2 linked regions of the Stegostoma tigrinum genome follow. The protein of the gene in region 2 purifies or fractionates together with the protein of the main gene of each other region. This does not show direct contact. Links are inferred from orthologs where the notes say so. Each region holds a gene or a part of one and is shown on either strand. Other genes may lie near its edges.

Region 1 (7,853 bases), on a different chromosome or scaffold from region 2:
TCTATAACTCAATGCCTTGAGTCCTGGCAACATACTTATAAATTTCTTCTGCACTCCTTCCAGTTGAATAACACCGTTCCTAAATCAAGGTTATCAAAACTGAACACAATACTCCAACTGCAACATAACTTTCCAATTTCTATACTTAATGCCCTGATTGATGAAGGCCAATGTCCCAAAAGCCTTCTTCACTGCCCTGTCTACCTGTGACTCCACTTTCAGAGAATGATGCACCTGAACTCCAAGGACACTCTGTTACACTCCTTAAGACCCTACCATTTACAATGGTCCCCAGTTCAACTGCCCCAAATCTTCATGTCTTTCTCCACAGTAAACACAGTGGAGAAATGTTGAGGACCTCATCCATCTACTGCAGTTCCACACATACCTTTGGTCTTTGAGGGATCATATTCTCTCTCTAGTTATTGTATTTTCCTTTAATGTACTTAAAGAATCTCTTCGGATTCACCTTAATCTTCTCAGCCAAAGCTACCTCATCTTCCTTTTCACCATCCTCATTTCCTTCAGTAAACTCTGTATCCCCTATCTACCTCTAGGGATTCCCTTGATCCTTGCTGCTCATTCCTGAGCCATGCCTCCTTTTTTCTGGTCAAAGCCTAAATATCTCTTGTCATCCAGGATTCCCTACTCTTGCCAAACCATGCCCTTTACCCTCACAGGAACACACAGACCTTGAACTCTAGCTATCACGCTTTTAAAGGCCTCCCACTTGCCAGAGGTCCCTTCACCTGCAACAAACTACTCCAATCAACTCCTGCAAGCTCCTGCATAATTCCATCAAAACTCGCCTTGCCCCAATTTTGAACTTGACCCTGTGGACCAGTTTTGTCCTTCTCCATAGCTATTTTAAAATTGACAGAATTATGGACACTGGTCCCAAAGTGCTCTCCCACTGTCACTTCAGTCACCTGCCCTGCCCTGCCCTATTTCACAACAGTTGGTCGAGTTCTGCCCTTCCAAGTAGGGCCCTCTACATACTACTTGAGGAAACTTTCCTGAGTGCACCCCATCTAAATCCTTAATACTACGGCAGTCCCAATCTACATTAGGAAAATTAAAATCCCCCACTACGATGACCCTACTGTTCCTGCAAGTCACCCCAGTCTCCTTGCATATTTCTTCCTAATTCCCAATCAACTATTTGGGGGGGCCTATAGTACAACCCCATTAATGTCACCATCTCCTTATTTCTTAGCTCCAAAGCCTCACTAGATGATCCCTCAGTTATTTCATCTGACTACTGCTGTGAAACACCCCCTCCCCACTTTCCAAAAGCACCTACACCCTGGCACATTAAGCCGCCAGTCCTGTCCCTCCCTCAGCCATGTTTCTTAATGGCTATAGTATCCCAGCTCCACATACCTATCCACATCAAGTTCATCGGCCTTATCTGTCAGCCCTCTTGCATTGAAACAGTTACAAACTAATCCATCAGGCAACCCTCGCTCTGTCCTGTTCCAGCCAGACCTGTCTCTTGAACGTGCTATTTCTGACTCCCCTATCTCTTCCCAGCCTCAACTTGATTCCCTATTGAGGATCCCACCCTTTTGCCAATCTAGTTTAAAGGCATATATCCATTATTTAATTCCAGCATCAAATAATGAAGTTTCCAAACAAAATTTAATAACATCTAAGACTTTTACAGTATGACACCTCCAATTAATCTGCATTTAGAATCATCTAACTTTACTCTCCAAGGTTTGCAAACTTATCAATTACATTGTTGGTCAGGGATGTTAAAGTAATACTTTTGCCTAAAACTACCAGAATCTTGTTTAAAACACTGATAGCCATGAGAAATATGTAGATTCAGCAACCACAGTGTCAAAAACCATTTTAAAAATTGTTTTAAATACCAAGTACTTGACTCAAGAGTTACATGCTGGAAATGTACTTTACTCTTCGTTTAAAAACGTGAAGTGAATTCGAAGCATTGCTTAAAAGGTTATTTCCTGACAAATGTGTCGCTGGTGATAAATTCTACAAAACTGTACTTATGCTTCCACATGGGTTCTTTGGAATTTAATTACGCCTCCTGTTCAAAGATCAGGCATAATCCATATTTAACAAAGCAAGACGAAATGCTGTAACGATTGTGCAAAATACAAAGGTTTGCGTTTAGAGTTAAAGCAGCATTTTATATGGTAGAGTTTAATGGCAAAAAGTTGTGGCAATTTCGGGCAATGGAGTAAATAAACTTTTGAAAACCATAACGCTCGTGTTTCCTTTTGCTCACTGAAAGCAAACCCATGCGGAGAGGAATGGGAAGTTTTATTGCGAGCTGCACAGAAACTTTTTTGTTAAATGGAATGGGATGAGGATGGACGAAGGCAGCCCCAGGGAAGGTGTAGCGAGCGAGGGCGTTTGAATGTAACCTCCAGGCAGGTCAGGGAGACAGAGAGAAGGGGGAATTTACCCGGTCTTTCATGCGCCAGCTCTGGGTGACCGCCTTGGATCCCTCGATTTTCTCCGAGTGCCGCTTCTTTACGAAAGCCACCGGGAGGTTCCAGTCGGTCATGTCGCCCTGCTCCTCCTCCAGCAGGTCCTCCAGGAGGCTGGCTCCAGCCATGCTGCGGCCCGGCTCCACTCAGTACAACCAGAGTCTGACACCTCTCCCCCTTCCCCCCCCCCCTCAACCACCTCCACCTCAGGAGAAGGGGGGGGTGATGGAAAGAGCAAGTGGAGGGGGAAGTGAGGGGGGGAAAAGGGGTGGTGAAAGCTGACAGCGAGACGCAGTCTATTCGGACAAGGAGGTACCGGTGCCGGTACGGCCGCCTCGAAATCCCGGTCGGCGGCCCCTCATTCCGCCCGAACGGAGGACGCCATCTTGGTCGAGGCCACAATGCCCCGCGCCCCTACGGCGAGCCGCGCGGCTCCATCCGCGCAGTCGCAACCGGTCTCAGGCTGGAAGTGTGTTTTTTATGTTGCCTCATGTATGTGCTCCGTCCTCTCAGTCTAACAGACTGGACTCAGTCTTTCATACTGACTCTTCTCAATCTTTCACTCTGACTGTGTTCTCGATGCTTCAAAAATACAGACTGCCAGAAAAACTCAGCGGGTCTGGCGGTTTCTGTGGAGAGAAATCAGAGTTTTCAGTTCAAGAGACCCTTCTTCAACTTGACGGTGGACTACAATCTGATTGTGTTCTCAATCCTTCAAACTGACTGTCCTCTCAATCCTTCACCCTGGCAATCTTTTACCCTGATTGTATTCAAAATCTTTCACCTCGATTGTGTTCTCACACATTTAATCTGACTGTATTTTCAATCTTTCAACTTGACTGTTCTCTAAATTCCCCACCCTGACTGTATTCTCATCAGTGATAATGGGAACTGCAGATGCTGGAGAATCCAAGATGTAAAATGTGAGGCTGGATGAACGAAACGTCAGCTTTTGTATTCTCATCATTCAACTTGAACGTTTTCTCAATCTTCAACCTGACTGTGTTCGAAATCCTTCAGCCTGACTATCTTTCTTCTCTTCTATACCTAGCATATTATTTCTTAACCTGTGAAAAATAATACTTGTTCAAAAACGTTTTTATGCATTTTACTCATCCACACTGGATCTGAACTCCAGAGGTGAGGTAAGACCCTGGCATTAAGGCAGCAGTTGACAAAGTGTGATATTTAGGAGTCCCAACAAAGTTAGAGTCAATTAGAAACAAGAGGGAACCGCTGCGCTGACTGGTGACATGTTTTATGCAAAGGAAAATGGTTGCGGTTGATAGAACTCAGTCATCTCAGCTATAAGACTCTCTGCAGGATTTGATACTACAGTGTGAAAAACACAAAGGCCAAGTGGTGTACAGCATCATCTTGCAAAATAGCAATGGTTAAATAATCTGTTCTGGTGATGTAGCTTGAAGGATAAATATTGGCCAGAAAACAAAGAGAACGGCCCCACTCCTTTTTCAATAATGCTGCGGGAGCTAGCATTAGTTTAACATTACAGAATTAAGGTGGTATGTCCAACACCCTTGGTACTATCTCAGTGCAACATCTAGTGTGTCGGTGAAGGTAATGTGCTCAAGTCTCTAGAGCCAGATTTCATCCCCACAACTCAGGTGAGAATGTACCCACTGAGACAAGAATGACTTTTCACATCTCTCATCTGTCATTCAACTTTTGAAATACCTTTGCTTAATGTCCCATGCAATTTTAATTTTATTTTACACCTTAGTTTTCTTCTAATTTGTTTAGCTGAAAATCAGATAGGCAAGCCAAACCTGCTTAGAATTTTAATCTTTCTGTCCCTTTAATGATAACATATCAGTAACTCATCCATCCATAACAAGTTGAGCTAAGCAGAGTTACTCATACTATTGAGGACTGAATTGAGATATGTGAACATAAAATAAAAAGCGGAAAACAAAAGATAAGACTGAGCCTTTAACATAAGCTATGATTGTGTGACTTGGAGATACAATATAAACTAATAAGAGGGATCTTCGGGATTGACATCAGAAGGTATTTCTACATGCAGAGTGATCAATACTCGGCATCATTTCTTGAGTAGGGTCAAAAAGCCAAACATCTGAAATCATTCAAGAGATAGTCAGATGCAGTCATGGATGAACCATGATCTTTTTAAAAAATTAGCTAGACAAGCCAACTGACAGTCTTTGTCACCTCTTTGTGAAGATCAACTTGCTTTAAGAAGTAAAATCACCTGTAAAAATTTAATGATGTAACCCTTTCTTTTCACAATAAGTCATATCAAACTTAGGTATTTTCAATCATGAGGCACAGATATGTGGCACTCAGCGCTACAAAAACAAAATCGGCTAAAACAGGAAGTTGTGTACATTAACTGAATCAATCCACAGGAGTTGGCTAAGTAGTGCTAATATGTCCTCTACATCTTAACCTTGTTCTTTCATCTTTGACCTCTTTTCCTGTCCTTTCCTTTCTTAGGAACATAGGAGCAGGAGTAGACTATTAGCCCACTGAGTTTGTTTTTACCCTAACACTAACCCTAATCCACCATTCAATTAGATCATGGCTAATCATCTACCTCAGCGCCACGTTCTCACACTACCTTCATATCCTTTGATGTTGGTAGTCTCCAGAAATGTATTGATTTCTAACTTGAATATGCTCAAAGAATGAATTTCCACAACCCTCTGAGGAAAAGAATTCCTAAGAACTTCTTTCGCATTGCAGTCCTAATTGATTATTATTCTGTAACTTTGCCACATGGTCTAGACTCACCAGCCAGAGGAAACTTCCCTCTTATATCTACCCTGTAAGAATTTTCTGAGTTTTAGTAAGAACACCTCTCATTCTTTGATATTCTATGGGATACAAGACCAGCTTCCTCATTGTCTCTTAAAAAAAGAATCCCACATCCTAAGGATTAGTCTGGTGAATATCCTCTGCATTCTGTCTGTAGCAAATACGTCCCTCCTTAAATAAGGAGAACATAAACTGCATGCAATATCCCAGACTCAGTCCCACCAATGTTGTACACAATTGTAGCAACATCTTTTTCTCCTGTGTTCAAGTCTTCTTGTGATTAAGGCTGTCATACCGTTTGCTTTCCTAATTAACTCATATTTTCATAGTTGTTTACAGATCAGAAGGAGGCCATTCATCCCATCATGTCCACACTGGTCAACAATCCCGTTTTCCAGCATTTGGTCCAAAACCACGAAGGCTATTGCAACGTGAGTGAATACCTAAATATTGCTTAAATATTACCATAGATACAGTTGCTGGCTACACCTGCTTTCAATAACTCATGAACAAGTACAGCAGGTCCCTTTGGACATCAAAACTTTCCAACCCCTTACCTTTTAAAACAAATACTCTTTCTTTCTGTTTTTCTTCCAAAGTGAATAGCTTCACACTTATTCACATTACATTCCAACTAGTAGTTATGAATGGAGCCTTAATTAAGATTGGATACTATGGACAGATATAAGACAGTGAACAGAATCATTTGTATGAACTAAACCCGGACAGTAGAACAAGGAGGAACATGTGCATCTTGCCAATTGCAGTTCTTTACACAAGGATGATTAATTGTACTTTAGTTTGTGAGCGAAAGGTGTTGGAGTATAATGTAAGCAAAATCTCTGGAATCTGAAGATATGATTGGGTGCTGTGATAGAGAGGATTTTTTTTTCTTGCTGGATGGACAGTACAGCCATCCTCATCAGTATCTATCTTGTGAGCTGCCAATTGTCCATAACATTTAAGCAAGCAGGCATTTTTAACTCCTGGCAAGTGAAAGCAATTACCTCAGCAATTATTTTTTCTGATTTTAAACTACGAACAACCTACGACTCTATCACAGCAACCAGTCATTTAAAGAAGAAGCAGTTACCTACAAATATATCACTGCCCACAAGCTTCACAAAGAAAGGTTCAGTACATTTGCAACAGATTCTTTGGGATGAAGCTACAACCCTGAAACATTTAAATTTGACAGTCATACATAAGGTGTAGGAAATTTATCTTTCCAGTTGTGATTACTGAATCACAGGCAAATGTCAAGACAGAGGCAGTTCATTTACATTTTGATCAAGCCAATCCATCTCAAGAACATATCAAAGATTGATCTTCTAAACTAGACTCATAAATCTTTGAATTTTTGACTCTAAAATTTGCCATGTGATTTTTCAGATATAATTTTGGTAATGTTCCATTAATTTCCATCTTTTTACAATCCTATTTCCTTTCGCTTTTTCTTATTTTAGAAAGTGAAGTAGCTACACAGAGGTTGGTATCTGGTCGCCAAGCCACCCTTCATTTGCACATGAACAGTCCATGACTTTAGTGCTGCTTTATTCAGAGTCAGATACTAGAGAGTCAGTATCTCTGACATTCACCCAACTAACTGTCAGCCAGGACTCTCTGACTGGACCAGATTCGCAGCACCAATCAGAGAACTCATATTCTGTGAGATCATTGCAGAAGAAAGTATATGTGAGGCAGAATTTTTAGAATAAAATAGACTCCCCCATTTAACAGAAATAAAGAAAAATAGGGAGAAATTGCACCTTAGTTGGTATTTTTGCTCATTGCAAATCTTGGCCTTTTGGGGTCTCTGTGCTGAGTAGTGATTCAGAACGCCAGCAGTTGGGATGACGTCAGCTATAGATCAAGAGCAGTAACAGAATATCCAGTTTCATTATGGACTTTGATGATAATGAGAAGCTTGCAAAAATCAAGATACATAAGCACCGCTGGTGCATTGAGCACTGATAGGTATATGGAAGTACATGGTCTATGACTGGCATCTTCCCATGACTATCTGGCAGGCCCCAAATCAGGAATTACCTACAACAGTATTGTGAGTGTGTACCCACCCACTACTCTATGCACAGTTTCACCAGAATACAATGTCATAAGATGGTTGCAGATGAAGAACTCACTCAAGCCTATTCCATACATTTGTGTGAAAACTGTCCTGAGGTTCATTTTGCCAAATAACACATGCAAGTATGAGCTTATATATCCTCGTAGGAAACTAAAAAGTACAGTTTTAAAGGGAGTGGCCCAAACTGTTAAAGGGTAATCTTAAGTGGGTTTTTCCACATACCTGAAAATCTTTGTGATTTATGGAAGCTGGGTTTATTGTGAATCCTTTGTTGGCTAATGGACTTCAAAGCTTAGGAATGGGGAAGTAAACTCTTAGCTCATGCCTCTGGGAGAGTGTTGGAACACAGACTAGGAATGGTGAGCTTCACCCCTTGGGGTATAAGTAAGTTATTCTCTGCTAGTTTATAGTTGCAACTGGAAGCAGCATCCCAAAGGAAGGCTATCCAACTTGGCATCCAGAGTTCAATTTATGGAAGTGAACTGTTTTTTAATGGCCTTTTTTTT
Region 2 (7,054 bases):
TACAGTGACAGACCTGTACCCACCCATACTGGACCCGTGTTATACAGCGACAGACCTGTCCCGACCTGAACTGTACTCTAGTGTTCTACAGTGACAGACCTTTGCTCACCTGTACTATACCGCAGTGTTATACAGCGACAGCTCCATCTGCACCGGTTCTGTACCCCAGTGGTATACAGTGGCAGACCTGTCCACACCCGCACTGTATCCCTGTGTTAAACAGTGACAGACCTGTCCCCACCAGTACTGAAACCCAGTATTACACAGTGAGAAACCTGTGCCCACCAGTACTGTAGAAACATACAGATATATAGATATACAACGTTACAGCACAGCACAGGCCGTTCAGCCCTCGATGTTGTGCTGACCTGTCATATCGATCTCAAGCCCATCTAACCTACACTATTCCATGAACATCCATATGCTTATCCAATGACGACTTAAATGTAACTAAAGTTGGCAAATCTATTACCGTTGCAGGCAAAGCGTTCCATTCCCTTACTACAGTCTGAGTAAAGTACCACAGTGTCACAGAGTGGCAGACATGTCCCCACCGGTACGCTACCCAAGTATTATACAGTGACTGACCTGGCCCCACCTGTAGTGTACCCCAGTGTCATACAGTGACAGATCTGTCCCCACCAGTACCGTACCCCATTGTTATAGAGTGACAGACCTGTCCCCACCGGTACCGTGTCCCAGTGTTACACAATAACAGACCTGTCCCCACCTGCACTGTACCCCAGTGTTATACAGTGACACACCTGTCCCACCCAGTGTCATGCAGGGGCAGACCTGTCCCCACCTGTGCTGTACCCCAGTGTTGTACAGTGACAGACCTGTCCCCACCCATACTGTACCCATGTTATACAGTGACAGACCTGTCCCCACCCATACTGTACCCCAGTGTTATACAGTGACAGATCGCCCCCCACCCGTACCGTTCCCCAGTGTTATACAGTAACAGATCTGACCCACCAGTGCTGTACCCCAGTGTTATACAGTGACAGACCTGCCCCACCGGTACTCTACCCCGGTGTTACACAGTGACAAACCTGCGCCCACCAGTACAGTACCCCAGTGTTATACGTGGCAGACCTGTCCCCACCAGTACTGAACCCCTGTGTTACACAGCGACAGACCTGTCCCCACCAGTACTGAACCCCAGTGTTATACAGTGACAGACCTGTCCCCACCGGTACCGTACCCCAGTGTTATACAATAACAGACCTGTCCCCACCAGTACTGTACCCCAGTGTCACACAGTGACATCTCCTGTCCCCACCCATACTGGACCCGTGTTATACAGTGGCAGACCTGTCCCCACCAGTACTGTACCCCAGTGTTATACATTGACAGACCTGTCTCCACCAGTACTGTACCCCAGTGTTATACAGTGACAGACCTGTCTCCACCAGTACTGTACCCCAGTGTTATACAGTGACAGACCTGTCCCCACCAGTACTGTACCCCAGTGTCACACAGTGACATCTCCTGTCCCCACCCATACTGGACCCGTGTTATACAGTGGCAGACCTGTCCCCACCAGTACTGTACCCCAGTGTTACACATTGACAGACCTGTCCCCACCGGTACTGTACCCCAGTGTTATACAGTGACAAACCTGTCCCCACCTGTACTGTACCCCAGTGTTATACAGTGACAGACCTGTCCCCACCGGTACTGTACCCCAGTGTTATACAGTGACAGACCTGTCCTTACCAGTACTGTACCCCAGTGTTATACAGTGACAGACCTGTCCCCACCAGTACTGTACCCCAGTGTGATACAGTGACAGACCTGTCCCCACCGGTACTGTACCCCAGTGTTATACAGTGACAGACCTGTCCCCACCAGTACTGTACCCTAGTGTTACACAGTGACAGACCTGTCCCCACCGGTACTGTACCCCAGTGTTATACAGTGGCAGACCTGTCCCCACCAGTACTGTACCCCAGTGTTACACATTGACAAACCTGTCCCCACCGGTACTGTACCCCAGTGTTATACAGTGACAAACCTGTCCCCACCTGTACTGTACCCCAGTGTTATACAGTGACAGACCTGTCCCCACCGGTACTGTACCCCAGTGTTATACAGTGACAGACCTGTCCTTACCAGTACTGTACCCCAGTGTTATACAGTGACAGACCTGTCCTTACCAGTACTGTACCCCAGTGTTATAGTGACAGACCTGTCCTTACCAGTACTGTACCCCAGTGTTATACAGTGACAGACCTGTCCTTACCAGTACTGTACCCCAGTGTTACACAGTGACAGACCTGTCCCCACCAGTACTGTACCCTAGTGTTACACAGTGACAGACCTGTCCTTACCAGTACTGTACCCCAGTGTTATACAGTGACAGACCTGTCCTTACCAGTACTGTACCCCAGTGTTATACAGTGACAGACCTGTCCTTACCAGTACTGTACCCCAGTGTTACACAGTGACAGACCTGTCCCCACCAGTACTGTACCCTAGTGTTACACAGTGACAGACCTGTCCCCACCAGTACTGTACCCCAGTGTTATACAGTGACAGACCTGTCCTTACCAGTACTGTACCCCAGTGTTATACAGTGACAGACCTGTCCTTACCAGTACTGTACCCCAGTGTTACACAGTGACAGACCTGTCCCCACTGGTACTGTACCCCAGTGTTACACAGTGACAGACGTGCCTCAGTCAGGCCTATTGCCTCAGCACCAGACTGTTATTTATTTAGTTATTGATGATATTATTACACTCTGACCCTCATCTCTCTTTCTCTGTCAGTCCCTGGTTTGAAAGTCCCGCGGCTGCAGTGTTTGGGATTGACCCGATCCCACTCGGAAGTCCCAGCCTCCCTCCAAACCCCCGCCCATGTGTCCCGCTGATCGCAGTCTCACCTCCTCTGAGACACTGAGGCCCTCAGACTCCTCACCAGGCGGCTCCATCAGCTCCTCCGGGCCGTTTAACGGCGGCGGATCGGGGCTGGCGGCCGCCATCTTCGCGGCAGGCCCAGCCGGAACTGACGCCTGCGCAGCCATGACGTCGACGGTGAATTCTGGGAGCGAGGTCCTGACTGGGAGGTATACATAAACATTGACTCTTACAGGTCCTGACTGATAGATAGAGATAAACACAAGATGGACAGATCATGACTCAGTGATAAGGGTTAAATAAACATAGAGATTACCTGACTGAGACATAGAGGTGACTACAAGTTAAACTGTCCCTGGCTGAGTTATAGAGATAAATACAAGGTAGTCTGGTCCTGCCTAAGAGATATAAATAACTCAGAGGGAGAAAGATAAATATAAATCTGGACAGATTCACACAGATAAATAAAATGTAGACAGGTCCTGATTGAGAGATAATGATAACTACAAATATCACTGACAAATATGACTGAGAGAGAAATACAAATTAACCTTGCATTTATTGTAGGGAGTTCCACAACGATATCGCCAATGTAGTGTGTTCAATGTATTTCTTGATTTCATTCCTAAAACGTTTGAGCCTCATTTATAGACCTGGTTCCCAAGATACTTCTCCATCTACTCCCATCTGCCCCCCTTGTATCTTGAAATCTTTTGGTTTCCATTCTTATCAAAGAATATACTTGCATTTGCAAAAGTTCAGGGAAATATCCCTTGCTTCCTAGGATGAAGAGGTTGTCTTCTGAGGAAAGATTGAAAAGGTTGGGTTAACACTCTGGTGTTTAGAAGAATAGGAAGTAATACTATGGAAACCTGCAAGATTTGGAGGCTCACCTGTCCGGGTAACCGCTGGGAATGCTACCTGTCATGATGGGGGCTTCTAAAACGAGTGGACACAGTTTCAAAACAATATTCCATTTAAGCCAGAAATGAGGAGGAATTTTTTTTTCTCTCAGAAGGCAATTTAGCTTTTAAACTCTCTTGCCCAGATCATAGTGAGACTGTTTTTTTTTATATATTCAAGGCTCTATTAGATAGATACATCACAGGAAAGTGAAGTCAAGCCTGTCATTGGATCAGGCATGAATGGTTTGGGAGACTCAATAGGCTGAATGGCTATTTCTGCTCCTATCAGTTATGATTCTATGTGCAAAATGATGTAGGGGTCTGAGCATGTGCCTGATGGAGTGTGGGACAGAGGGATTCATTTTCATAGGGCACTGCCAACAAAACAGGAATGGATGGGAACTGTACCATTGGAAGAAGCTCCAATCCAACTGGATAAGATGGGATAGGGGTTCAGGTTCCGAGCAGAAAAGGTAAATAGACCGGTTGTTCAAACTATGTATGGTGTGAACAGAGAGTTTTTAAGGAAAGCAGTAATTTGCAAAATAGTCCAAAACCAAGTGTAAGTACAGTAAGAGTCAGTGAGGTGAGAGTGACAGCCCTTGACATCAAGGCTGCATTCGACCAAGTGTGTCATCATGGAGCCTTGCAAAACTGGAATCAATGGGTATCAGCGGGCAAACTCTCCGCTCATTGGAGTCATACCTGACGCACAGGAAGATGGTCGTGGTTGTGGGAGGTCAATCATCTCAGCTCCAGGACATCTCTGCAGGAGTTCCTCAGGGTAGTGTCCTAGGCCCAACCATCTTCAGCTGCTTCATCAATGACCTGCCCTCCAACATAAGATCAGAAGTAGGAATGGTCACTGATAATTGCACAATATTCAGCACTATTCATGACTCATCAGATACTGAAGCAGTCCATGTCCAAATACAACAAGGTCTCTGGACAATATCCACGCTTGGGCTGACAAGTGGCAAGTAACATTCATGCCAAACAAATGCCAGGCACTGACCATCTCCAATAAGAGACAATCTAACCATTGCCCACTGACATTCAATGGTGTTACCATCAGTGAAACCTCCACTGTTAACATCCTGGAGGTTTTCGTTAAACAAATATTCAACTGCAATTGCCACATAAAAACAGTGGCTACAAGAGCAGGTCAGAGACTGGGAATACTGTGGCGAGTAACTCACATTCTGACCCCATCAAAGCCTGTCCACAATCTACAAGGCACAAGTCAGGAGTGTAATGGAATACTCCCCACTTGCCTGGATGAGTGCAGCCCCAACAACACTCAAGAATCTTGACACCATCCAGGACAAAGCAACCCGCTTGATTGGACCACATCCACAAGCATCCACTCCTTCCACCACCGATGCTCAGTAGCAGCAGTGTGTGCTATCTACAGGATGCACTGCAGAAATTCACCAAGATCCTCAGACAGCACCTTCCAAACCCACGACCACTTCCATCTAGAAGGACAAGGGCAGCAGATCTTTGGGAACACCACCATCTTCAGGTTTCCCTCCACGCCACACACCATCCTGAATTGGAAATTTATTGCCGTTCCTTCACCGTTGTTGGGTCAAAATCCTGGAATTCCCTCCCTAAGAGCTTTGTGGGTCAACCCACTGCAGGAGGACTGCAGCAGTTCAAAAAGGCAGCTCACCACCACCTTCTCAAGGGCAACTAGGGTCAGGCAATATATGCTGGGCACAGCCAGTGATGTCCACATCCCACAAAAGAAAAATTAATTTAAAAAATGTTTGAGCTTTAGGCTCTACATGGAAAGGGAAGACTGAAAGATGTAAAGTAATTGATTAAAAGGGAGAAGTAAGAAACATAAGAGTAAAATATTTGAGGAAATAGACACACTAGAGTCTATAATAAGATAACCAAGTGTGAAGCTGGATGAACACAGCAGGCCAAGCAGCATCTCAGGAGCACAAAAGCTGACGTTTCAGCTAATAAGACATTGTTGACCCTTCATCAGATTCTCCAGCATCTGCAGTTCCCATTATCTCTGATCACACTAGAGTCTATAGCCTGGATAGCCGATTTATAGACAAACACAGTGTTATTATTACAGATATTGCAAAGTTCTCCTGAGTGGAAACTGTTCCTTTAAATTGAAAAAAAACACAAATATCACTGCAGTACTTAAGGAATGCAAAGGAAACTATAGACGAGTTGTTCTATCAACTGCTCTTGTGAAATGACTAAAGGCTACTTTTAAGGATAGAGAGATGCAACATTTTGAGAATGTCCAATTGATCAGAGAGCTAACATCTATTTACAATGATGTGGACATGCCAGTGTTAGACTGGGATCCACAAAATCAGAAGTCATACCAGGTTATAGTCCAACAGATTTGTTTGAAATCACAAGCTGTCAGAGCTGAAGTCACTTCACCCGATGAAGGAGCAACACTCCAAAAGTTGTTTCAGAGATAGTTGGAACTGCAGACGCTGGAGAATCTGCGATAACAAGGTGTAGAGCTGGATAAACACGGCGGGCCGAGCAGCATCAGAGGAGCAGGAAAGGCTGATGTTTCGGGCCTAGACCGTTCTTCATTTTTCAGAAGAAGCATCTAGGCCTGAAACGTCAGCCTTCCTGCTCCTCTGATGCTGCTCGGTCCACTGTGTTCATCCAGCCCTACACCTTGTTACTCCAAAAGTTGTGATCTATTTACAATGGTCATGCCTTACATAGCCTGAATATATTGGTGACTGAAGTAGCAGATGGGGGTGTTGCTATGGATGTTGTGTGTATGACTCTCCATGAAGTTCTTTCATAAACGACTTATCCTTTAAAAAAAATTGTTCATGGTTTGTGGGGCACAGATTCGTCAGCCAATATTTATAGCCCAGATGACAATTAAAAGTCAACCTAATTGCTGTGGGTCTGGAGTCACCTACAGGCCAAACCAGGTAAGGGTGGCAGACTTCCTTCCCTAAAGGGCATTAGTGAACCAGACTGGTTTTTACACGAATCAACAATTAGGCCGGTTTTTTTCAAATTTCAGAATTCCAGACGGTAGGATTTAATTCATGCCCACAGAACATTAGCCTGGGCTTCCAGGTTACTAATGCAGTAGATATTACGACTACCACATCACTGCTATCCCACAATGAATGTTTTGGTGACTGGAATAATGGACAAGAGAATGTCCTTTGGCTTTATTTACGTGGATTTCCGTAAAGTGTCTAATCAGTAAAGTTGCAATAGTCCCTGAGGACCATAGGCCTCATTAAAGAGATGACTGGTGGAGCTTTAGCT

What was found.
Region 1: the proteins of braf (region 2) and rptor purify together in Homo sapiens (affinity purification with mass spectrometry; 3 studies listed by BioGRID and IntAct, with this or other methods). This does not show direct contact. The link is inferred for Stegostoma tigrinum from reciprocal best matches to the Homo sapiens genes BRAF and RPTOR.

Annotation. Positions count from the first base shown.
Region 1 is NC_081375.1:14,204,264-14,212,116, forward strand, and holds the start of rptor (regulatory-associated protein of mTOR), read right to left. Parts: upstream 3,001-7,853; 5' UTR 2,591-3,000; coding exon 2,438-2,590; intron 1-2,437. UniProt on the Homo sapiens protein: Component of the mechanistic target of rapamycin complex 1 (mTORC1), an evolutionarily conserved central nutrient sensor that stimulates anabolic reactions and macromolecule biosynthesis to promote cellular biomass generation and growth.
Region 2 is NC_081371.1:2,748,974-2,756,027, forward strand, and holds the start of braf (serine/threonine-protein kinase B-raf), read right to left. Parts: upstream 3,001-7,054; 5' UTR 2,990-3,000; coding exon 2,891-2,989; intron 1-2,890. UniProt on the Homo sapiens protein: Protein kinase involved in the transduction of mitogenic signals from the cell membrane to the nucleus. Phosphorylates MAP2K1, and thereby activates the MAP kinase signal transduction pathway. Phosphorylates PFKFB2.